Caenorhabditis elegans: one gene and its partners. The protein of the gene in region 4 purifies or fractionates together with the protein of the main gene of each other region. This does not show direct contact. Each region holds a gene or a part of one and is shown on either strand. Other genes may lie near its edges. The genes, in order: arx-4, arx-5, arx-2 and arx-7.

Region 1 (5,165 bases), on a different chromosome or scaffold from region 4:
AAAAGTGATCGAAATCGAGATAACCGTTCTTTCGGATGATGGTGGTGTTCTTTCAACTGCACTTTCAGCTGTCACACTAGCCATTTCTCATTCTGGAATTGAAAATATGGGATTAATGGCCAGTGTTCATGTGGCAATGAATTCTGATGGAGAATGCTTGACGGATCCATCAACTTCCGAATCCGAAGGAGCCATCGGTGGCGTCACATTCGCTTTCGTTCCGAATCTTGGCCAAACAACGTGTGTGGACATTTACGGACGAATCCCTCTCAAATCCACGTCATCACTTTTGGAATTTGCGAAGCAAAGAGCGTGTGCTCTGGTTCCGACGATTCATAAGGCAATTGTGAACAGTGTGCGAGAGAGAAAATAAATGTGTTGACAATTTTTAAATTTATCTCTCATTCCGAATATCTAATTTAGAAAAAAAAGTTTTTGCCCGATTATTTGAAAATACATTTTTCCGTCTAAATTGAACATTAAATAGAAATATAAAATTGAATTCGACAAAATTTTTTTTGAAAATATTTTTTAGTTCGTGATTTCAAGCTGAAATATAAAAAAACAGATATTCAAAATATCATGCTCAAAAAAAATATGGAAAAAAGAAATATCTTCGTTTGCATTAAATTTTTTTCGAATTCTTGAAAATTTTTTTCGAATTCTTGAGAATGAGAATTTGAAAAAAAAAATCTCAAGCGAAAATATTGAACATTTCCATATTTTTGAGCATGATATTTTGAATATCGGTTTTTTTTTATTTTAGCTCGAAATCACGAATTTCAAAAATTTGTCAAAATTAACATTACCGAATTCACAAGTTTAAAAAGGATTAAAAATTAACATTACCGAATTCACAAGTTTAAAAAGGATTAAACTTGTGAATTCGGTAAAGTTAATTTTGACAAATTTTTGAAATTCGTGATTTCGAGCTAAAATATAAAAAAAAACCGATATTCAAAATATCATGCTCGAAAATATGGAAATGTTCAATATTTTCGCTTGAGATTTTTTTTTCAAATTCTCAAGAATTCGAAAAAAAAATTTTTATTTTTAAAACGCTCAATTTAGACGGGAAAATGTATTTTTCAAAATCGGACGAAAACTTCTTTTTTTTCTAAATTAGATATTCGCCGATACATTTTCTAAAAATTCAATTAATTATCCCCGATTTCACTTCAAATGCACCCCCTTCCATCTTTAATGAATGGGAGGAAAGAGCGCTCCACTGCACACAGATTCTTTGAGTAAATATAATACTGTTTAGTCACCTTCCCTTTTGCCTTCTCCGTCGTTTCTTTCTCATTTCTTTCTTGTTGATTTTGTTGTTGTTTCCCTTTTCATTTTGTTCAACCGTCGTGGTTTTCACAGTTTTCCTTCATTTTAAATACAATGAATTCAGAATTCTCTATGCATTTAATACCCTTCTTATTCCGTCGCTGGTCGCGGTTTTGTATTTTAATTCCTTTTTAATTGTTTTTGTACATTTCTCTCTCTATTTTCTACACTTTCAGAAAAATGATCATTTTGGAGCAAAACAACCGAATTATCGTGGAACTTCTCGAGCAAAAATTTGCAAACGCGAAGGAAGGGTTGGTTTTTTTTTGAATTTTAAACGTATTTTTGTAATTTTGAAAGAAAACATAACTGCATAATTTTCCTTTATTTTTAAATTAAAAACATTACCTTTCCGAAATTATTACGGAAATTTCGTTATTTTTTCAAACGTTTGTTGAAAACAATACCAAGAAAAAGTAAACTTGTGTGCGGTTTTCCCGTAGATATAGGTCTCGCCACGAATTTAGCATTTTCAGGCTTTAAAAAGTGTATGTTTTTATAAAGAGTATAGTAATTTCTCCATGGTTCTTCAACTGAAGTGCCAGAGAAACAACGATGTGTGTGAGAGTAATGTACTTTTTGAAGGCACATAGCGTTAAATTGAAAATGATTTGATCGTGGCGAGACCTTAATATATTGTTACTCTCACTAATAATCACCTTTTTCAGTGGAAAACCAGAGTCGGTCAACGTGACATTCGCCGATTTTGACGGAGTTCTCTACAAACTTTCGAATCCAGATGGCGATAGAACCAAGATAATTGTTAGAAACTTTTTCACAGTCTAATAATTTTTAAAACTAATTTTCAGCTGAGCATCTCGCTAAAATTCTACACGGAACTGCAGCAACACGGAGCGGATGATGTATGTCGCCGCTTTTTTCTGATGAATATTTGATTTTCCAAAATTTCCAGCTCCTTCGTCGTGTGTACGGTGGTCATATGCGTTCAACTCCGGAACAAGGATTTAATGTCACTCTGGAATACAATTTGGCCGATCTTCCGGCAGATACAACGGATTTGGTGCAGGCAGCTTCTGCTTTGAAGAGAAATTGTTTTGCTTCAGTCTTTGAAAAGTATTTCGAATTCCAAGAGGCCGGCCAGGAGGGGCATAAGAGAGCTGTTATTAATTATAGAGATGATGAGACAATGTGAGTACCGGTTGTGTTATGGCGTTATTCGAGAAGTGTCGAAAAATTTAAAAGTGTAGAAAAACTACGCCACAACTGTTTTAAAATACATAAAAACATGTATTTTAATACAGTTGTGGCGTCATAAATGTTTTTGAACACATTTTGCAAAATTACTTGATTAACCCCATTAAACGAGGAAAGTTGAAAAATGTTCAATATTATAAAGATTTGTTCAATTAAAATAATTTCACAGAGAAAGGCTGAAAAGTGGCGTTTTTATTCCAGTTTTCGTGGATTTTCAGAGAATTTGATTTATTATTTAACTATCAAAAGATATAAAAATTTTCGATTTTTTCATATTTCGAAAAAATTCCAAGTTTGCCGGAATTTTTCAATTCCTGCACTTTGCCGTTTTGCCGGTTTTCCGCCCACCCCTGAATCGACTCTCTACAATTTTTCAAATAAATAATTTATTATTAGGTCTCCAAATAAGTTCCGGGTCAAAAATCATAACTTTGTTCGCTGCGAATCGATTTTTATGAAATTGTGGGAATTTATGTTATCAACCATGATCTTTCATTTGACAATAGTCACAAAATTTTTTGGCCGTCCGAAGTGCCCGTACTCATAGCCAATTTTTTCAGGCATTTTTCAGATCTCGCTTCTTTTCAGGTTTCAACTAAGGTTTGTGTGCGGATATTGCTTAGTTTAGTACACAATGTAAGAGAACAAGAAAAGTTTGAAAAAAATCCGTCCAAAAAAATTTTTTTGTCGATCGTCAAAAAATCTTCAAAAAATTTTTTGTCGAAAATTCTTAATTTTTCATACAAAAATGATGTAACCATGTGCAAACTATTTTTACACATACAAAAAATTTCAATTTAGTGCGTCTCACTAAAAAAAAATAACAAAAAACACAGCTTTTTCGAACTATTTTCGAGTTTTTGGAGTATTTCTCAAGATCCAAATTTCATACTCAAATGTTTTGTATGTGTAAAAATAGTTTGCACATGGTTACATCATTTTTGTATAAAAATTCAAGAATTTTCGACAAAAATTTTTTTGTAGATTTTTTGACGAGCGACAAAAAAAATTTTTTTGGACGGATTTTTTTTCAAACTTTTCTTGTTTTCTTACATTGTGTACTTAATTAAGCAATATCCGCACACAAACCTCAGTTGAAACCTGAAAAGAAGCGAGATCTGAAAATGCCTGAAAAAATTGGCTCCGAGTACGGACACTTCGGACGGCCAAAAAATTTTGTGACTATTGTCAAATGAAAGATCATGGTTGATAACATAAATTCCCAAAGTTTCATAAAAATCGATTCGCAGCGAACAAAGTTATGATTTTTGACCCGGAACTTATTTGGAGATCTAATAATAATCACAAATTTGCCATTTTCTCTGAAAAATAGTAAGAATTAATAAAAAAGTGTTTTTCACTTTTTCAATACGCACAAATTTCTTATTTTTTGAACAAAAAATTCTGAAAAACAGTACTTTTTAATTGTAATACTGCAAATAATATACTTTAAACCCCAATGATTTTCAGGTACATTGAAGCGAAAGCGGATCGTGTGACCGTAATCTTCAGTACAGTTTTCAAGGACGCTGACGATGTGATAATCGGAAAAGTGTTCCTTCAAGAATTCCGTGAAGGCCGAAAAGCCAGTCAAACTGCTCCAGCAGTACTCTACTCACTCGGTGAACCACCTTTGGAGCTTAAAGATCTTCCAGAAGCCCGTGTTGGAGACAATGTTGGATACATTACATTTGTGTTGTTCCCACGTCACACAAATAAGAAGACAAAAGACAATACGATTGATTTGATTCATTCGTTCCGTGACTATCTTCATTATCATATCAAATGTTCCAAAGTCTACCTTCACACCAGAATGCGTGCCAAGACCACTGATTTCTTGAAGGTTCTCAATCGGGCACGTCCAGAGGTCAAAGGAGAAAAGAAGACGTTCCATGGAAGAACTTTTCAGACCCAATAAATGTACAAATTATCACAATTGTTACCAAATATTTTTTTTCTGTTTTCGCTTTAAAACCTTATTTATTGCTTTGATTGTAAAATGTTCTTATGAGGTTCGTGAAATTTTGATATGAAATGAATTATTGCAGTAAAATGGAGAGCGATAGTTAAGGCACAATTTGTGGAATGATATCAATTACTATCCGATTTCAAAGAAGAAAAACATGGACGGGCTGAAAATGCATAGGGATCGGAGGAGAGAGAGGAGAACAGGTATTCAGGTAGACCCTAGTAGTTTGACCTACGAAACTTGCGGGAATGGTGTTTACGCGTCATGGCAAACAACGAGGAGTCCACCTGAACACATGTAATGTAATAATGAAGAAATCTCCTAAAAATCATAAAAATTTTCAAATATTATCATTTGGAGCAATTTTACGGGCCTCTAAAGTAGTGAAAAAAAAAACACTATTCAGCTCGATTTTTATCCAGTTCAAAGTGTTTTTTTGCCGGCCTATTTAGGAGGTACTCTTTTAACATAGATTTCATCCAGAAGTCGGGGTTAACTTGAAATACTTCCCTTGTTCTCTCACATGATCTAAAATACTCATTCACATCTTTTAGTTGTCCTGCAAATACGCTTCACATTTTTTTTCTTCAATTTTTTGCAATTCATGTATGCTGAATTCAGAAAAACTAGGTTTAACCCATCA
Region 2 (3,400 bases), on a different chromosome or scaffold from region 4:
AAAAAAATTTTTCAACAAAAAAATCAAAGAAACTTGCAAATTTTAGTTTCTTTGATTTTTTTTTTTTGAAATATAATTTATTTCGTGTAAAGTGAACGAAACTTACTGATTTTTCAATTTTTAAAATAATAAAATACCCAAATTTACACGAAAAAACACATTTTAATTTAAAAAAACCGAAGAAAATGAAGAAAACTGGTTTAAAAAACCGAATTTGGCTGCAAAAAAACCCCTCGTAAATCGACATGGCATGGCGCGCTCCAATGAGAATTTTTCTGGCGCGAGTTTGAAAATTGTTTCGCGCTTTCAAGCTGAAATATAAGATTTTTGAAATTTTTTGAATTTTTTTAAAACAAAATATGGGAAATTTGGAGTAATTTGAAAATTTAAAAAATCAAAAAAATGATTTTTTTATTAAAAAAAAAAGTTTTTTTCAGGATTTCCAATGGCGTGCCGGCTGGGGTGTTCTCAAGGCCAATATGCTTTTCGTGTACAATAAAACCGAAGAGGAGACGTCGGCTCCTCCATTTTTACTACTAATTATTGAAGACTGTTTTATCGAATTATGTGATGAGAATAAGATTGGCAAGGATTTCACTTTTGAAATCAAATTCAAATCGTGCGTTTTTTCCGGGTCTCAACACGAAAAATTAATACTAAATTCCAAAAAAAAACTGAATTTTTATCGGTTTTATCGAAAATCGATGAAAAATCGATTGAAAATTCCTAAAATTATCCGATTTTTTTCCAGAACTGCTCGAAGCTTCATCTTCGCCGCCGACTCGTTCAAATCGCTGGGACGTTGGGTTTCGCTGCTCACAATCTCCCCGATCGACTATATACAGCTCTCGAAACAAAGTTTTCATGAGCAAATCGAGCAAACTCAGAAGAAAGCGATGAGGGATTGATTTTTATACATTTTGCACATTTTCACTGTGATATTTTGACTTATTGATTATAAATCATACATTTTTAACGTTTTTTGCTTTGTTTTGCAGCTGGAATTTCCCTGAATTTATCGTTTTTTTCGCAAAAAATCGCGAAATTTCATTAAAAATTTCCAAACGATGCTCCGATATTCCGATGTCGCGCCTTGTTTACCGTAAACTTACACGAGATTATTATTTATTTTTCCGTTCCTGGAGAGAATTTCATCAGAAAAAACGTTTAAAAAGCAGAAAATCTTTGATTTTTTCCAATTTTTCTTAAATATCTGATTATAGGAAACTTGTAAGCTGATATTAATCATATTAATTCCAAGTTTTCATATATTTTAACACGAATTTCCGAATAAAAGTGTATTTTCGGGTTTTACTTTAATTTTCGCGTCCGCAACGACATTATCGCTTCAAAAACTGCATTTTTATCGAATAAAATACTTATATTTTAATTTAAAACTCGAATTTCACAATTTATCGATTTTTTTTCGCAGCCGCAGTGACTCATTATGTACTTACCCCCCCCCCCCCTCGGGTATCCGAAAATAAGCCGTTTTCTATGCATTTTTCCAAACAAAACACTTATTTTTCAGTGAAATGCCGGCATACCACTCAAAATTCGACACTGAACTCAAAGTTTTGCCATTGGGCAACACAAATATGGGAAAACTTCCGATTCGAACCAATTTCAAGGGTCCAGCGCCTCGTAAGTCTTCAAAAATTGATTGAAAAAACCTATATTATATATTAAAATTATTGCAGAAACCAATCAGGATGACATCATCGACGAAGCGCTCACCTACTTCAAGCCGAACATCTTTTTCCGCGAATTTGAGGTTGATTTTCGAGATTTTTCCCTATTAAAATTGAGAAATTTTCAGATCAAAGGTCCCGCGGACCGTACAATGATCTATCTCATCTTCTACATCACCGAGTGCCTCAGAAAATTGCAAAAAGTACGGATTTTGCACGAAAAAAACCTACTTTTTAGATTGAAAAATAAGAAAAAAAGACCCAAACATACCGAATTTCAATGGATATTTTGAACATTCCTACCGAAAACAGATTTTTTTAAGTAGAAAATTTCAAATTCGAAACATTTTCGATTTTCTCTGAAAAAATCCCAAATTCTTTCAATTTTCTCTGAAAAATCCACAAATTTTAAGGTTTTCTCTGAAAAAATCGAATTTTTTTGGTTTTTCCCTGAAAAAAATCTAAAAATTGTTTAATATTCCCTGAAAATTCCAAAATTTTTCTGGTTTTCCCTGAAAAAATCCGAAAATTTTTCGATTTTCACTGAAAAAATCCGAAATTTTTCCGATTTTCTTCGGAGAAATCCAACTTTTTTTTTTCTCAAAATTTTGGAAATTATAAAAAAAAATTCTAGTTACAAAATTCGGTCTTTTCGGGCTATTTTGAGTGAAATAAAGCGTAAAAACATGTTTTTTTTTTGCAAATTTTTTCAAATTTTCAGAGCCCAAACAAGATAGCCGGCCAAAAGGATCTTCACGCCTTGGCTCTCAGTCATTTGCTTCCAATTCCCGGTGAAAATGGATTCCCACTGAACAGCATGTACAAGGCGCCCCAATCGAAACCGGACGAGGACGAAATGCGTGCCTATTTGCAACAAATTCGCCAAGAAATCGGCGCCCGTCTGTGTGATCTCGCGTTCCCGGATCCCCAAGATCGTCCGAGCAAGTGGTGGCTCTGTTTCGCGAGAAGACGATTCATGGACAAGGGGCTCGTTGGACAGGGTGTTAATTTGTGAATTATCGATTAATTATTGTTGTATCTGGCTCAAAATTTTTTCACTTTTCCCATTTTTTTTTCCATGTAATTATATTTATATTGCGTCCAGTTTTACTTTTTGTGCTGCTTTAAAATATTCATTAAAATTCCGATTTCATCATTTTATTACGGTAACGCAACATATTTTGCGCGCGTCAAATATGTTGTGCGCGAAATACGCGAAATCTCTATGCTCTACCGATAATTTGTCTGCTTGGATCCCATCACTGACAACAAAAACGCCACGGTATCGTGTACGACTTCTGGAGCAGTTATCTGGCAACGTGCCAAGTGACTTCGAACCTCTTCGGGAAGTTGGGAGACTGGAAGAGCCTGGAAATTGAGAAAAATTGAAAATTTTAAGATTTTCTCCGAGAAAATTGGAAAATAGTCGAATTTTTTTCAGAAAACCCCAAATATAGGCCTTTTTTATTAGAAAATCGAAAAATTTTCAGGTTTTTTCAAATAAAATCGGGAAAAAAACTATTAATTTCCCGTAATTTTCCAAGATTTCCGTCTTAAAGGCGCACAGATTTGTTCAGATGGGTCTCGGCGCGCAAAAAAGTTTATGGTACTTTTTTTTCTTTTTTCCTGTTAAAAATTGTTTTAAATCAGTTTTTTTGCCGTTTTCCAGTCAGAGAATGAATAAAAATTGATTTAAACAGTTTTTAACA
Region 3 (5,227 bases), on a different chromosome or scaffold from region 4:
TTCCAGTTCAGTTCGTATCTTCAAAAATAATAATTTTCATTTTTTCACAACTGATCGAGAATCGAAATCCAAAAAACATAGGTTCACCGACGGTTCAATAAACAAAAAAGTTTAAACTATTCTGAGAGTAAAGCAGCTATAAAAAGTTCCAATTTGGCTTCAACACAGACGAGACCTCCCCGTTTGATAGGTTGGTCAGGCGATGAAAGGACACTAAAACGACACCATTTTAGAAGTGCCGGTCGCTTCTGACGATTTCATCGACCACTGATTTATGTGGACCTTTTGGAAAGAAAGAGAAACCAATTAAAATAAATGAATTGAAAAGATTTAAATGTGATTATATGAATCAGTTAATAAATGAGTTGGAAAGAAAAAATCCGAATGTCGCAAATAAAGGAGTATTTCGGATGAAAGTAGTTGAAATAGAGGAGGACACGGGCCTGAAGATAACAATTATCCGTTATCAGGTGGTAGAGTATCCGTGTATCAAATGCGGGTCATCAATGTCGTCGTTTGTCTCTTTTTCTAATGCCCTTTTGCTGGATGATTTCGGTTTCATTTAATGGAAAAATGGAAGAAGGAATAAGAGGTGACGCAATTCAATTTCAAACCAAAAGTAAGTTGAAGAAGTGAATGAATTCAAAGTGGAAAATGTATTTACAACAGAGAATGATGGATTCAGGTGGTTGTTGGTTTGAAAGATAAACGTTTGAATGAGAGTGGGGGAGAATAGGATGCCTATAAAGAATAAATTAGTTAACAGGTAGGGGATTTTAAGAGAATTCAGAGAAACGGGGATAAATGAACATAAAGCACTTTTAAACATGTTAACACGAAAATAAAGTCACAATATTTAAGCTTTGATTCCAAGTTTGGCCATACATCTTGCAATACCACCCTCTTCATATTCTTTCTTTGAAACCCAAAAATCTTGATCACGATCCTTCATCAGATTTGCAAGAACAGCTCCTCCAAGGAAAACCATGTGCTTACGGCTTGGTGGGGCTTCTATACGGATTTTGAATTTCTGAAAATAAATAAATTGGAACATTGCTGGTAATTTTTTCAAGGTCGTAGCCACGCCCACTAAAGAAGGATGTAAGTAAACACTGGGGTGATGGGGCGGAAAACTAAGATGTTGAGTGAGTGTTCTTTTAGGAGACCTCACACGAAGAAATCAAATGCATTTAGTTAACACATCATCAAATCGTCATTGACGACCAAAAGCGCCATTCTTAAAAGGAATGGTCAAATAACCAAAAGTAAAACTACTACAGGAACACAAATATCTGGGAATGCGTAGAGTGCAACATATTTGACGCGCAAAATATTTCATAGCGAAAACTACAGTAATCCTTTAACATTGTCTAGTTTAATGAGCTTGATTTTTAAAATGAATTTCTTTTTGATCTGTTTTCTTAACTTTAATAATGTTCTATCAATAAATAAATGATTCAACTCAGCTAATCGAGCTCTTGAATCTACACAAGAACTATAGTAGTCATACAAAGGATTACTGTAGTGTTCGCTACGAGATATTTTGCGCGTAAAATATATTTCGCGATACGCATTTTCAGAAATTTGTGCTTTCGTAATACTTCCCATTCAAAAATTGGCATTACATAAAAATTGTTTTTTTTTTTTCAAAAAAACTTTTTACTTTTTGATTGATAATTATTTGTGGAAAAAATTTCAATTCTACTACCAACTGTTTTGAAACTAATCTTTAATCGATTTTTTTTGATTAAAAAAAAGACAGCCATAGTGGGCGAAAATAAAAAATTTTCAGAAATTTTCGAGTTATAAAAATTTTCGAAAATTTAGAAATTCGGCGACAAAAAATTTCGGCAATTACCGGGTTCAAAACTATTAGAAAAAATAACTATAAAAATTAACAAAAAAAATCAATTTCTACTGTAGTAAATGTGTTTTTGATGAAGAAATATAACTCAAAACGACCTGAATATTTTCAATTTTCTATTCGGTAATTGGAATTTATTTTTGATAATTCGAAACTTTGACAACTGCTGAATTTTGAAAAACTCAGCGATCGGCATTTTGACAATTGCCTAGTCTCAACATTATTCCGGCAATATCCTTGTGGCCGAATTTTCGGAAATTCGTTACCTGGAACGCGTCAGTATTTCCATGCAATACGCGATCCAAATACAGCTGTTTCAGTTCCTTCTCAAGACGGCTGGGCAATCCTGGATACATAGTGGTTCCACCGGAAAGTACGATATGCTTGTAGAAATCAAGGCGAGTATCTATAAAAGGGATTTATAATGGAAATGCACAATTTCATTTTTGAAATACCTATATCACTGGCTTGAATACATCCGAAAAGAAGTTCCGAGAGACCAGCTTTTTCAACATTAATCAGATGTGGTTGGAATAGAATTTCTGGAGCTTCGAATCGTTCACCTCCGAGACGAATCACACGACCATCAGGAAGAGTGTATTGTTGAGAAAGAACTGTAGTCTCTAGTGCCAAACGTTCTTCTTGCTCAACATCATATGCAATGTAACAAAGCTTTTCCTTCATTTGGCGAACAGTTTCAAAGTCAGCAGAGTGATTGAAGTTGTATCCACGTTGCAGAAGAAGCTGAAAACAAATATATGTTAGTTTCTAATAAACCATATTTTGTCACTATAGCAATCAGGAAAATAATTGAATTAATATGTAACATTTAAAAACTTACCTTGATAAGATACTTGGTAATATCTCTTCCTGCAATATCCAATCGTCTTGTCAAATGATGAAGAGCAAATCCTTCGTAAACAGGACAGATGTGGGTAACACCATCTCCGGAGTCAACTACAACTCCTGTCAAAAGACCTTGAGCATAAAGAGTGAGCACAGCCTGAAAATATAATCATTATGATTTTATCATGAGGATTAACTATTACCTGAACCGCCACATAGATAGAATTGAATCCATACTGCTCAAACATAACTTGAAACATTTTCTCACGATTGCTGTTCGGATTGAGTGGTGGTTCTGTCAGCAGCAGTTTACACTCTTTCGGGTCGATATCCAACTTTTCCGGTCCAAAAGTATGATCCCATACATGCGCCATATCATCCCAGTTTCTAACAATTCCGTTGTCCATGGGATAATTGATATCAAGCATTTGACGAAGCTGAGAGCACTCCTCGCCAACCATCAAATCCTGTGAGAAAACAGTTATAAGACCTTTCTGTGTAAAGTTTTACCTTAATTTCAATATTTCCAACTCTTTGTGTCGATCTCACGATTGGCCGACCGACCATTGAAGGGAATATATGAGCTGGGAAATTGGTTCCTGCATACCCGCATTTGACGAACTGCAAATACAGAATTTTTGAAAATAAAATGGGATAAAATTTTGCAACTTACACCTGTTCCGTTGTCAACGACAATCACCTTTCGCCCTTGCGAATCCATTTCGCCTGAAAATTGTTAAATCGATTGTGCGGGTTTCGAATGAGTCATAAAGAGAAGAAAAGTAAATAAATAGCAAATTTGCTTGCCAATCGATGAAACCGGTAAAAATTTCGTTTTGACACTGTCTTAGTTGGCTTAAAATAGAACAAAGTACGAACATTTAAGCAATATTTTACATTACTTAGATTTTAATTTAATGAACGAGGGTTTCTGGAAAGTAAATCTGACTATATTTAGTGGAGATCGCCGTCAAAATACGCGGAAGTCGATGGAAAAATGTTTCTACAATTTCGCGAGAATTTTTATGTTCTTCATAGAATACGAAAACAATTATAAGATTAAAATATACAGAAAAGAAATAAGGAAATTCTATTGAAATAAAAACATGACAGTTCTGTCTATAGTGGAGACGCAGGGAATTGGTTGTCGATGGAGCAGATTTGCAGCAAGAGTATCGTAGTGTAAAAACAGATTTAAAAAATCTAAATCATGAACCTTTGTTTTTTTTATTATTTTATTAGTTTTATTTATAACATTTATTTTTATTTACATGTTTACCATATTTATGATTTTTTTTACTTGTGTGATTAGTTTTTGGTAGAAATTTCTGAATATTTATGTAAAAAAACATTTTCAACATCTGTAATAAATAAGTTGCGATATGGATTGTACCGAATTATTTCCACATGAAACATGGCTTTTTATAATAAAGGCTCTTCCTCACATCCAAAATTTTAATTTCTCAGTTAATTTTAAGAAAAATGGGAAGAGACAACATAACAACTAGGATAGGTCATGTGTATATGGTAGTGTTCCTATCGTGATTGGAAATGATCACAATATAACGTCATTCTTCTGTTAATTCAATTTTTCTCTGTTTAGTAAACTTATTGAACTCTAAATACAAACTTCGCAAAGAGAGTGTTTCAATGATCGAACGCTTCGTTCAAAGTCTATGAATTACCATTGAATAGTGTAAATTACAACAAACATCACATCTTAACTTTCAAAAATTGTTCAATGAAACTTCCATTGTTTGTTGAACTGTCCCCCTCCTCCTCTACCTATCTCTTATTTATATTTAATGTCCTCTATTCTTCATTTCTTGCCATTTTTATATTCTTTTATCTCATTTAAATGTATTTTCAGACTATGAGTGTTTTCACAAATGTTGTTGGTGGTGCATTCAAGTTTTCCGATGGATACGAAATGCCAAAAATTGGTCTTGGAATCTCTCGAATTGAAACTCAACAAGATTTAGATGTCTCTATTGAAGCCGCTCTGAAATCTGGATATCGTCAATTTGACACAGCCAATCTCTACAAAAACGAAACGTTTCTTGGTAATTCCCTGAAGGTAAATTTAAACTGATTTCTGAAAAACTATTCAAACCTCTAAAATTTTAGAAATATCTACCACAATTTGGCTTGACACGTGAAGATGTGTTCATCACTACTAAAGTTCGTACTCTCAATGAAAATACTGTGGAGGAAACTGAGAAACAACTAGCCAATTCCCTTGCAACTTTGCAAACCGAGTAGGAAAATATTTGTTGAGTTATCATCAGAATTATTTCTATTTTCAGTTATGTAGATCTTCTTTTAATTCACTATCCACGTGACCGTGATACTGGAAACGATGATGACTACGAAATTAACAAAAGTAGAAGGAAAATTGTTTGGCAGACACTTGAAAAGGCAAAAGGTATGTTGGTTTCATGGTCATTTCATATAAAGTTGAGTTCCTTTTTCAACGTGGTTGGCGTTATCAATTATTTTGAAATAATAGTGGTAGAT
Region 4 (3,308 bases):
TCGACGGCAAAAAAAAGGAAAAATATTTTTTTTCGGAAATTAAAAAATGTTTTTTTTCGAAAAAAAAACTTGTTTTGATAAAAAGATGAAAAAGCGAGAAAGATTTTTTTTTGGTAAATTTGAAACATTTTTTTGGAAAACTTGAATATTTTAATCAAAATTAATCAACATATTTAATTTCGAATAAAAAAATTCCCGATTTTTTCAGTAAAAATTTGTTTGAGATTAATTCCGCCTAAAACCCCGTGCATTTTCAGTGTTTCTTCCACCAACTTCGAGATGAGGGTAGCTGGTTGGATATTGGTATGAGCATTTCTCAATTCATCGTTTCAATGTGCATTTCTCTTGCTCTTCTGCTACTTCTCTCGATTTCCAGTCATCTTATGGCATTTGAATTCCGAAAATTTCCTGGAAAAAGAAATCACCAGGAAATCGAATCGATCTCTTCCCGGAAGTTATCCGACGACGAATCTGCTTAAATAATTTTTTTCAGATTTTTAATTGTTATTTTTCAATTCGTGATGCCATTTTCAATCGTGTGATAGATACTATTCCGTGGTGCTTTAATTTATCTTTCAAAAACTTTTTCGAATATCAGAAAGAATTAAAATAAATATCATCATAAAGCTTAAGGCGAAACAAAAAATATTCAAAATTCACAAGAAACATGTGGAGAGCGATGGGGGAATGAATATCACAGCAAACACAACGATTCGGGAATAAATCAGAGACGTTGGCGACCGGAGAAGACACGCATAATGGCTCCGTGACCGAATTTTGCGACGAGTTGAGCGTGCCACGCGAGCAAAGACTGACAGACGGCCGCGTCGGCGCCGATTTCCATTGATTTGTAGACGTATTTCATGAGAATATCACTTTCTTCTATCGAAAGCTTCTGGACAGTCGCCTCGATTTCCGCGTTTTTGAAGGATTGCAGAACTTTTGTGACGAGCTGTGTGGCGCGGTCTTTTACGTTCTGAAATTGAAAATTTTTCTTTCTGTCTCTTCCCTGGCCAGCTTAAGCCAAAACCTAGGCCTAGGCCTATGCCTAAGCCCAAATAAGCTTATTAAATCTCACCTGATCTTTGGTTTTAAGTGGCGGGGAGAGAAGAGCCGCATGAAGAGCATCCTCAAGCCGATTCGAGCTCAAAAATCCCTGAACCGCGCGCTCATCGGGTCCAAGTCCAGGAGTATCGACTGCTAAAATTAAATAACAAATTATTTATTCAAATGCACACGAAAAATCAATAATTTCCGCGCGCCTTAAGTACACAAATGACTCACTCTCGTCATTCTCATCGTACTGTTCCGGGTCGAAAGAGTCCACATCCAGCTTTCGGTACGAGGTGTTTTGCATGTTTTTCGACATTTTTTCCTATCTGAAACAAGAGATTTTTAAATGAAAATGTGGCGCGGTGGATTTGAAAATTGCGAAAGAAAAATAAATCGGTTAGCTTGTCCGAGAAGAGTACACAGTGGCACTAAACAACACGCGCATGCGGAATTACGGAGCTTCGTAGTTAATTTTTTTTTTTTTTTTTTGGTTTTATTAAAATTAATAAATATCTCGAAAAAAAGAGTGTTTTAATGTGAATTTTCCTTTTGAAAAAAAGTGAGAAACAATTATTCGGGATTAGATTCATTTAATTTTATCGAAAACTCCTCCATTTTGGGACTTTTATCGCCATTTTCGTCGAAAACTCTGAAAAATTGGCGAGAAACAGCGTTTTGGGAATATTCGTACCAAATAAACGCTATTTATTCTTGGATGCCATTATTTCTAGAAGCTCCTGAAATTAATTTCTATGATTTTCAAGCAAAACCTTCAAAAATTGGGGTTTTTTCGAATTTTTCCAAATTTCCAATTTTTGAAACAAATACATCAATTTTTTAGTAAATCCCCATATTTTGGAGCTAAAAAATTTGAAAATTTTACAAAACTGTTAATTTTCCGAGCGAAAACTTTAAATTTCCAATTTTTGAAGCTGGAATTTTGAATTTTTCAGAGGAAATTTTAAAAATTACATTAGTTGGCAAAAATTCTAAGTTTTTTCTTGAAAAATGTGTGCGTTTTTTACAACTTTTCCGGTTAAAAGCGACAATTTTTATCGCCAAAAACACGAAAAAGCCTCAATTTTGTGAGAAAACCCGCTGAAAATCTGCTAAATTGTGTGTGTTTTTTTTCAATAAAGAGTAGATTTGGTGAACAGAACGATTTATGCACTTTTTCCATAGTCATATATAATAAAAATTTGAAAAAAAGCTCCGTACCCTTCTTGGAAGGTTGAGATGAGACTAAAACGGCCCTTCAAGACCGTTCAAGAAGAGGACCGATCTCCGAGAAAAACTGTTCTTTTTGCGATAAAGAACCGTATGGGGGAGCAGAAGAAATAGATTATTCTCTGATTGGGAAGGGCTTTAAACTAGAAAACTCACCTTTCCCGAGAAGAAAAAATCGAATTTTTTGAATTAAAAAAATCCAAAACCAGAACAAAACAGAAGAGCAAATACACCAAAAAAAACATGGGGAAAAGATGATGAGCAATAGTTATCTATTTTACATGGATGCGATATAATACGAGCATATTCAAGATAATTGGGGAAATGGAAAGAGAGAGAGAGAGTACAGAATAGTGTACAGGAGGTGGGTGAGGAAGAGGATTTCAATGGAGAATAAAGCGAGTTGACATGAAGGCGGCTGAATTGAGACTGGAACAAAAACTGTCGAAATGCACTTTTGGATGGGGCAAGATCTGGAAATTATTGAGATTGGATTAAAATATTTAATTTTATTTTTTATAGACCCTATTTATGCTCCTGATCAAGGGTGTCAGTTTTTCGATTTTTTTTTCAAAAAATCGAAAATGTTAGTTTTTCGATTTTTCGATTTTCCGATTTTCGAAAAAAATTCGCTTAATATTTTGGCCATTATCCTTCTTTTTAGAAGAAATTTTAATGTTTTTTCTTACCAATATAAACAAAATTAGATAAAAAATCATATTTTATGGTAAATTTTCTGAACATTTTTTTCGATTTTTCGATTTTCACCGAAAAACTTCGAAAAATGGCACAAAAATGACACGCTCCTGATACCGAATTTTAAAGTGAAAAAATTCCTCAAAAAAAGAGCAAAAAATTTGTAACAAACTTTTTAAAAATCTAAAAAATTTTCCAAAATACCCAAAAAAAATTGCAATTTTTTTTTCGAAAAAAAAAATCCAAAAACACTTTTAAAAAACTGTTTTTAATCGAATTGGCGTCTCTGGCGGCAAAATTTGCCGTTTGAATTTTTGAATTTAAAACTAGAA

Evidence for each region.
Region 1: the proteins of arx-7 (region 4) and arx-4 fractionate together in Caenorhabditis elegans (co-fractionation; one large-scale study listed by BioGRID). This does not show direct contact.
Region 2: the proteins of arx-7 (region 4) and arx-5 fractionate together in Caenorhabditis elegans (co-fractionation; one large-scale study listed by BioGRID). This does not show direct contact.
Region 3: the proteins of arx-7 (region 4) and arx-2 fractionate together in Caenorhabditis elegans (co-fractionation; one large-scale study listed by BioGRID). This does not show direct contact.

The regions. Positions count from the first base shown.
Region 1 is NC_003281.10:860,792-865,956, forward strand, and holds arx-4 (putative actin-related protein 2/3 complex subunit 2), read left to right. Parts: upstream 1-1,514; 5' UTR 1,515-1,518; coding exon 1,519-1,592; intron 1,593-2,006; coding exon 2,007-2,100; intron 2,101-2,147; coding exon 2,148-2,201; intron 2,202-2,251; coding exon 2,252-2,487; intron 2,488-4,023; coding exon 4,024-4,471; 3' UTR 4,472-4,605; downstream 4,606-5,165. Other genes in the region: exos-4.2 (Exoribonuclease phosphorolytic domain-containing protein), read left to right, coding at 1-373. UniProt on the Caenorhabditis elegans protein: Functions as actin-binding component of the Arp2/3 complex which is involved in regulation of actin polymerization and together with an activating nucleation-promoting factor (NPF) mediates the formation of branched actin networks.
Region 2 is NC_003281.10:12,816,232-12,819,631, reverse strand, and holds arx-5 (putative actin-related protein 2/3 complex subunit 3), read left to right. Parts: upstream 1-1,531; 5' UTR 1,532-1,535; coding exon 1,536-1,644; intron 1,645-1,700; coding exon 1,701-1,774; intron 1,775-1,819; coding exon 1,820-1,894; intron 1,895-2,412; coding exon 2,413-2,706; 3' UTR 2,707-2,843; downstream 2,844-3,400. Other genes in the region: Y37D8A.25 (PH domain-containing protein), read left to right, coding at 438-619, 752-908; BE10.4 (DUF148 domain-containing protein), read right to left, coding at 2,922-3,059. UniProt on the Caenorhabditis elegans protein: Functions as a component of the Arp2/3 complex which is involved in regulation of actin polymerization and together with an activating nucleation-promoting factor (NPF) mediates the formation of branched actin networks.
Region 3 is NC_003283.11:10,334,920-10,340,146, forward strand, and holds arx-2 (Actin-related protein 2), read right to left. Parts: upstream 3,437-5,227; 5' UTR 3,432-3,436; coding exon 3,384-3,431; intron 3,332-3,383; coding exon 3,221-3,331; intron 3,178-3,220; coding exon 2,914-3,177; intron 2,868-2,913; coding exon 2,706-2,867; intron 2,609-2,705; coding exon 2,320-2,608; intron 2,271-2,319; coding exon 2,131-2,270; intron 1,031-2,130; coding exon 857-1,030; 3' UTR 544-856; downstream 1-543. Other genes in the region: K07C5.2 (NADP-dependent oxidoreductase domain-containing protein), read left to right, coding at 4,584-4,787, 4,838-4,968, 5,017-5,135.
Region 4 is NC_003279.8:3,068,772-3,072,079, forward strand, and holds arx-7 (Actin-related protein 2/3 complex subunit 5), read right to left. Parts: upstream 1,380-3,308; 5' UTR 1,370-1,379; coding exon 1,285-1,369; intron 1,201-1,284; coding exon 1,079-1,200; intron 977-1,078; coding exon 725-976; 3' UTR 554-724; downstream 1-553. Other genes in the region: pign-1 (GPI ethanolamine phosphate transferase 1), read left to right, coding at 258-479.